Linked DNA regions of Rattus norvegicus. The protein of the gene in region 2 purifies or fractionates together with the protein of the main gene of each other region. This does not show direct contact. Links are inferred from orthologs where the notes say so. Each region holds a gene or a part of one and is shown on either strand. Other genes may lie near its edges.

Region 1 (3,813 bases), on a different chromosome or scaffold from region 2:
GTGCCCTTGTATGTGTGTCCCCAGCAGCTCGCACTGGAAACAAAGACGGGAAAAGGCAAGTCCACTGCAGACAGTGCTCTCCCTAGCAGGCACTCAGCCCCTCACCGACACCCCCCATTACGCTCACTCTGAAGCAGGGCCTCACCTTCAGCCTCATGTTTGGCTTGAAAAATCTTCTCCAATTCAGCCTTCTGTTCCGAGAGCTCTTTCTGAAACTGGTTTTGCAAACCCTCCATTTCCGACTGATGCTTTGCAGACAACTCTTTGCGGAGAGTTTCCAAACATAACTCTCTTTCAGATTCCCAATCCTGCTTCAGGGTCTAATTTAATAGAAAAAGCAGGTTGTGGCACAACCCAATCTCTGAGGAACGAGGTCAACAAAGAATTGACCTCCTACCAGCACATTCCAGCTCCCTTGACTGACTTTTCTGCCTTATGATGGGGGAGGTCAGTGGAATGTGAAGGTAAAACGGAATACGCACAGAACTATAGTCCCAACCAATCACACACCTCCATCATCTGAACGGTCTTCTCCATTTCTGAACGGAACTTTTCCTTAAGCTCAGCTGCAAGACAAAATGTTCACAAGTTGTTCAGACCACAGGATCTCAACTTTCTCCACAATCTCCTTACCCAGGAGATAATGGGGCTCAAGCTCCCACTGTCCACTCCATTGCACACAGGATGACAAGACATCCAGGTGATGGTTCGTTTAAGTATAAGACTTACTCACATCAAAAGAAAGAACGCTGAGGTTCCCAGGCTCTCAGGTTCTCCTAAGAGTACAGCTGAAGATCAGCTGCTGGGGTCCCATCCCCAGCCCCTCCAAACCCGTGTGAACCTTCAGACAAGAGAACTGCGGGGCACTGTAGTTCATGTGCCCACTCCAGGGCCAAGGTAAGCTACTGGAGAGTAAGACATGAGGAACTGTCCTACCACCCAAGAGCTCCCAACTCAAGCAGAGAGAAGCGCAAGAAGATAGAGTCCAGGAAGACGTCCCCGGATGGAAAGGTGCACAGAGGGTAGGCCTGAAGAAGACAAACAGGGCAGGGGGCAGGGGGCAGGGGGCAGGGGGCAGGGGGCAGGGGGCAGGGGGCAGGGGGCAGGGGGGTAGGGGGTAGGAGGCAGGGGGCAGGGGGTAGGAGGCAGGGGGCAGGGAGTAGGAGGCAGGGGGCAGGGGGCAGTACAAGGCAGCAGCAGACAAGTCTAAAGCTGACTGAAGTCTGGAGTCCATCATTGCTGGGTAAAGTACTACTTCCCAGGGTACCAGGGAGCCCTTTGCCTTCCTTCCCTAGGGCTGCAGGCCTAACCAAGGGACCCCAAGGACGACGGCCTCGGCAACTGGGATGGAAAGTGGAAAAGGCTAAAAAGAGAGAGCTTCTATTGGAAAAGAGAATGAAACAAAAACACGTATGTATTTTGTTTCAAAGTGCCAAAAGACACGTGGAAAGCTTGGGAAAAGAAAACTGGTCTTTCCCACTGAGGAGAGCCAGGCAAGGGAGAAGGTTCTCCCCGGCACAGCCACGCTACTCAGCTAGAAAGAAAAATGTTTGTCGCAGGGATGCTGGAAAGGCAAGTAGAAAAGTAAGCCCTCTCTCCAGGTAATGGACTTCCTCACCCTTAGCTATGGAGACACCTACGGAACCTACGTAGATACAGCAATGGCTACCGAAGTGTGCTCCTTTACACAGAGTCTGTGTGACAAGGGAGTTATTTCTCAATAAAGCTGATACTTAGTTATATTTAAAAAAGACGTGGGGCTAAAGAGATAGCTCACAACAGTTAAATGGCTCAAGAACTTCTATATGACCTGGGTACATATCCCAGGACCACACAGTAGCTCGGAACCATCTGTAACTGCAATGCTAGAGGAACAATGTCCTCTTCTGACCGCCACAGGCACTAGACATACATGTGGACCACAGACATAGGTGCAGGCCAAACATCTATACACACAAACTACCACTAACTAAATAACCAACTAAAGAGAAGGGCACCCCGGGCTGCTCTATGGGCAGGTGGCAGCAGACAGAGTGTATCTGACCCAGCACACAGACCTGCAATACGACCATATCTAAGATGAATAGCCAACCCAAGCATGCCCAGTCGAGTTTGCCTGTGTTTGCAGGGGGCCTAGCTGGAACGCAATCAAGGACTGGCCGACAGAGAGAACCCACTGGACGGCTTCCCTCCCTCACAGAAGACCCACTGAATGGCTTATCTCCCTCGGAGGAACAGAAAAACAAAAAACAAAACAAAAACCAGGAACATGGGCTAGAGAGATGGCTCAGCAGTTAACAGCAGTGACTGCTCTTCAGAGGTCCTGAGTTCAATTCCCAGCAACCACATGGTGGCTCACACCCATCTGTAATGGGATCTGATGCCCTCTTCTGGTGTGTCTGAGGACTGTGGAAGTGTAGTCATATGTATAAAATAAACAATTCTTTTAAGAAAAAAAGAAACAGGGGTTGGGGATTTAGCTCAGTGGTAGAGCGCTTACCTAGGAAGCGCAAGGCCCTGGGTTCGGTCCCCAGCTCCGAAAAAAAGAACCAAAAAAAAAAAAAAAAAAGAAACAGGAACGTGTAACGTGTACTTAAGTAAAAGTGATTTGGAAAATCAGCAGGCTGCTTCAAGCGTGTGTGTGTGTGTGTGTGTGTGTGTGTGTGTGTGTGTGTGTGTGTGAGAGAGAGAGAGAGAGAGAGAGAGAGAGAGAGAGAGAGAGAGAGAGAGAGAGAGAGAGAGAATGAATGAGAATATGGATGTGTGAGAAGGGGTGAGAGGTCTGGAAAGAGGACTCCGCTATAACCAGAAAAAGACAAGCGGTACACATGCGCAGTACCTGTCTCCTGCTCGTTGCGGAGCGCCATCTCTTCCTTCTCTCGGGCGTGCTGCTCTCGCATCAGCTCCAGCTCACACTGCTGCCTGCTCTGCAGCAGCGCCAGCTCCTGTGCCCGCCGGCCATTGAGCATTTCCCGCAGCTCCGTCAGCGCGGTCTCTTTCTCCTTCTGCAGGTTGGCCTGCGTCAGCTCCAGCTGTGCTGTATGCATGTTGTTCAGGCTCAAGCGTAGAGCTTCTAGTTCAAGGCTATGGGCTGTCTGCGGGCAGAGGAGCCAGGCCTCATGAGACCCAGGTCAGAAACCCAGATGGCCAGGGGAACGCCAAGCAGAGATTGCAAAAGAACATGGGAGGGAAAGGAGCAACTAACTTGAGGGCGCTGCCCTGTCTCTATGCTGGCATGTGATTGAGAGCAAGAGGGTGCCGCCCCACTCTATGCTGCTGTGTGATGGACAGCCAGAGGGTGCCGCCCCAGCTCTACGCTGCTGTGTGATTGACAGCAAGAGGGTGCCGCCCCAGTCTATGCTGCTGTGTGATGGACAGCAAGAGGGTGCCGCCCCAGCTCTATGCTAGCATGTGACCAACAGCAAACACACATCATAGCCATGGCAGACTCCAAACCGCAGGTGTCCACACGGGACCCTCCATTTGTCTGGGGGAATGGACTTACAGAGAGAAGGCGGAAATAACAAGACAAAAGAGGAGATGGCAAGCCACCGCCCCCACCTGTCTACTTTAGACTAAGTCTCTCCCACCTGCCCACCAGCAACCGGGACTCACTGTGCCCTGGTAACACTGGCAGAGCACAGGTTAAGACCCTGTGAAGCTGAGCGCTGTGCCCATCACCTGGGGTGGCTGTGGCTGCTGCTGTGGCTGCTGCTGTCCCTGCAGGTCAGTCACACCCAGTTCACAGTCTTGTTGTTCCTAGAAGGAAAGCAAAGGATGTAGCCTAGAGAATTCCCAAATACTTCATTCAAC
Region 2 (3,813 bases):
AAATCATGATGTAGTTCTCAGCTATTGTCTGTATTCTGCCATCTTCCCCACCATGATGACAATGGACTAAACCTCTGAAACTGTAAGCAAACTCCAAATACATGTTTTTTGTTTTCCATATGAGCTGCCTTGGTCATGGTGTCTCTTCATAGCAATAGGACAGTGACTATGACACTGAGTTATTGTCCAATTTTAAGGGCACTGTGATGCTTCAACCAAATAATGTCTACAACATCAAGAACACAAATAGATCTAGAGGGAACAGACTTATGCTAAGAGATCAGTTGTAAAACCCCAGCATGACCATTCATTCCCAACATGATCACAGATAAGGTACTTTCTCTCACAGACCACATTCTTCCACACCATAAAACTGGATCTACTCACTCACTTTCTCCCTATGAGAACAGAGAAAAAGGGAGCAGGAGAATGGGACAGTGATGTCAATGAGTGACAGGACTACTGCTGTCTTACAAATGTCCTGTCCAGTTCTTACCCAATGGGTGGCTGGGAAAAGCAAGGAGAAACAAGAGAAGCAAAGTGCAAAGACTATGAGAAAGAAGGCTGTTTGGGCTTAATGGCAGAACAGCCAGGTCAGTATGTACAGCAAAGGCAAGGAGTCAAATCTCCTGGTGTCCACTGAAGAAGTCACAGAGAGTCACACTGAGTGCCTCTACCTACTTACCATGGAGAAACAGCTTCTCCAGTTGCTCTAGCAGTCCAGCACACTGTGTTAGCTGCTCGCGGAAGCCCTCAGCCACACAACTGTCCACATCACTGGCCTGCAGAAGTTCCTCAAATGCCTTGATCATGGTGCTCATGTGTTGATGGCAAACGACACAGATATCATGACTATCCTTAATTTGCTGCCGCTGAAGAGAGAGCTCCCTTGCTTGGGACTGAACCAATGAATCGTATCTGATAAAAGAGGGAAGGAAAATGTGTGTGTCATTTTAGAATTGAATTTTTGTGACCTTAACACTAATTGGAAAAATGACAGAGCATAATTTCTGGAAGCCCGCAGCTGTACAAGCATATATACTTTAGAAAAATTGAAACTGTACAAGGTCACTCCTTCTTTGAGTTCAAACAGCCAACAAATGCTTAAACAGAGATTCTGCTGCAATATTTGTAACCGTAGAAAGCCCCCAATTAAAGCATAGATTGGCAAGGACTCAGGAGAACAATTAGTTTCCATACACTCTTCAAAGACACTATTCTGAGTTGTAGAAACAATTGCCACAAGGGTCAGGGACCCACTGAAAATTCTCACCAAGTACAAATATGTATATACCAAGGGTAAAAAAATAGGGCTGCTTGCCTCCAACTGAGAGAGTCGGACTCCCGGCTACCACCTTACTGACTGACTAGGTCCCATCATGGGAACAAGTTATCTTAGGTCATCTGGTTCTCCCAGGCTTCTAACAAATGGATTCATTAAAAAAAAAAAAAAAAAAGGAAAAGGAAAAGGAAATATTTCTCAAAGGTATTTAGAGGTAAAGCTTTGCTTCTTAAACACACAGCTTGTGAAGATTTATTATACAATACTGCCCCCTCACCACCAGGTGCCACTCTTCTCTATGCAGTCCCAGGAGTTGTTAAGAGCAAATCAAGGAGGAAAAGCAAACAGCAAGCTGGATCTAGAGTGGCCTGACAGGCACTTCTGTTCACCATGACCACTGTTAATACCAATAACCTACAAGCAAATCACATGACAGCCATCTTAGGTAGGGAACAGTATGGGCTTGAACCCTGGCAGTGGCTCTGACCATGGGCAAGTCACAGAAATCTTTTGAGTCTCAGTTTCTCTGTCTAACAAAAACAAGTTGAGAATGCTCCTGCTCAGTGTGTCTGGAGTTAAATAGTCAGTTCCTTCCCAGTGGGGTGGTTCATGCTTGCAATCCCAGCACTTAGGAGGCAGAGGCAGAAAGATTATGAATTTGAGGGCAGCTTGAACTACGTGGTGAAACTCCATCTCAAAACAAAATGAAACAAACACTTCCGAGCCTGGGGGCTGATACAACAGCCCATCAATAAATAACTTTCCCTCAGTCTTGCTGCTTGGGTAGCCTTGAAAAAAAAATCATTCTAGCTCTTGACAATTCAGAACAGTGCTTTTCTCAAATTAGTAACGAATGAAGGTCAAATTTACAGACTATCCCATTTTTTTGCCGTATCTCATGAAGCCAATGTACATATTTATAACCATAAAGCATTATCTTCATGACCCAAGAATTTCTTGCTTTCAACACAGGCTTATTTCTCTAAAATGACCTTAAAGGGTAAAGATATGGAAAGCATTTATATTCCTCCTAACCTGCTTAGGACATCCATTTTATTTCCACAACATGGCAAAAGCCAATAATAGAGTTCAAAAATAAACACGGCAGGCAGCTCAGTAAACACACTGCAATCCCTGACTGATTGCCGTGGAGTTCTATGCTGAGTCCTCAGCCCAAGCAGGGCAACATCTGTCCTGCCCATCTCAGAAGCTGGCCAGCCCCTAATGCGCATATGGACAGAGTAATGCTGTGCAGCCTAGCCTTTCACTCTGATCCCGGCTGCCTGAAGCCCGGCGAGTTGTCCCCAGGGTACACTATCCACCCATGGAGCACCATTCCTTCAGCAGCTTCTGGGCTTCTACCTAGCAACAACCTAGGAAACCTACAAGCCTAATGAGGCGGGCTGAAGCAGGAATAGGATGTACCTTGATGGCGAGAGGTCTCGGAACTTGTTCTGCAGGTTATGGATTTCACCGAAAAGTTCCAAGTTCAAATCCTGCTCCTTCTGTAGCTCCTGCTCCTGTTCTACCAGCTGCTGCTTGAGGCTCTCTAGCATCTTGCCATCAATTATTTCTGGGGTTAGTGGACGGAGGATTTTCATGTGCTTCACATATCTTACTTGGTGCAAACTTGAAAATGTCATCTCTTCTTCATCGATGTGGCCCTTAGGCTTGTTCAGGCCATCTTGGGCCCCTTCTGTCCCACACAAAACTGTAATAATAGCCTCACTGCACTGAGAATGCTTCTGTAGCTGGACAATGATGTTCCGGTAGCCTTCCAGCTCAGTTTGCAAGTCATGGATTTTCTGTTTTAAGGCTTCTGTATCATCAGGGAGATTGATATTCTCAGACTGGTCAGTTCCAACCACACTGACTTTAACAGAGAGCTGACTCTTGGAATCCAGGTAAGTGGCTATGGAGGGTGGGCCTAAGAAGTCTTCAAGGTTCTCTTTGCATGCTGGTAATAAGGCAAGGTCATCAGGTGGGCAGATTTCAGAATCTGAAAATCAAATACTAATCTTTGTCAGTGACTCCTTTGATGCAATCAACTTTTTAACTCTAGAGTTTCCCACAGTTGAATTCTGAATCTTAAATGTCCCCAAAGTCTGTATATTAAAAGCCTGGTTTATAGAACTACTGGAAAATTGGGCTGTGTTTAGGAGGTGGGGCCTTGTAGAAGAAAATCATCACTAAAGAGGACCTTAAGACCCTATCACCAAAACCCTGGTTCCTAAATGGTTCATAGACACTATAAGGTGAACAGCTATACTTTATCACATGCCCCCACCATGATATTATCCGTCACCAAAGGCTCAGAGTGACAAGTCCAGGCAGTCATGGATTGGACCTATGAACCAAAATACTTTGTTCTTTCAAGTTAATAGCCTTAGAAATGTTATCATGTTCTAGAAAGCTGACTAGCATACTATTTTACCACTCAATCCATCCTCTTTCTCATGTTGGAAGCAACACTGCTACATACATCATCCAGTGTGTGTCCCCCCCAAAGTCACCAGACCCTTCTGCCCACA

What was found.
Region 1: the proteins of Cdk5rap2 (region 2) and Pcnt purify together in Homo sapiens (co-immunoprecipitation; 4 studies listed by BioGRID and IntAct, with this or other methods). This does not show direct contact. The link is inferred for Rattus norvegicus from reciprocal best matches to the Homo sapiens genes CDK5RAP2 and PCNT.

The regions. Positions count from the first base shown.
Region 1 is NC_086038.1:12,198,717-12,202,529, reverse strand, and holds part of Pcnt (pericentrin), read right to left. Parts: intron 3,760-3,813; coding exon 3,682-3,759; intron 3,096-3,681; coding exon 2,840-3,095; intron 567-2,839; coding exon 511-566; intron 321-510; coding exon 146-320; intron 1-145. UniProt on the Homo sapiens protein: Integral component of the filamentous matrix of the centrosome involved in the initial establishment of organized microtubule arrays in both mitosis and meiosis. Plays a role, together with DISC1, in the microtubule network formation.
Region 2 is NC_086023.1:88,846,809-88,850,621, forward strand, and holds part of Cdk5rap2 (CDK5 regulatory subunit-associated protein 2), read right to left. Parts: intron 3,282-3,813; coding exon 2,708-3,281; intron 919-2,707; coding exon 686-918; intron 1-685. UniProt on the Homo sapiens protein: Potential regulator of CDK5 activity via its interaction with CDK5R1. Negative regulator of centriole disengagement (licensing) which maintains centriole engagement and cohesion. Involved in regulation of mitotic spindle orientation.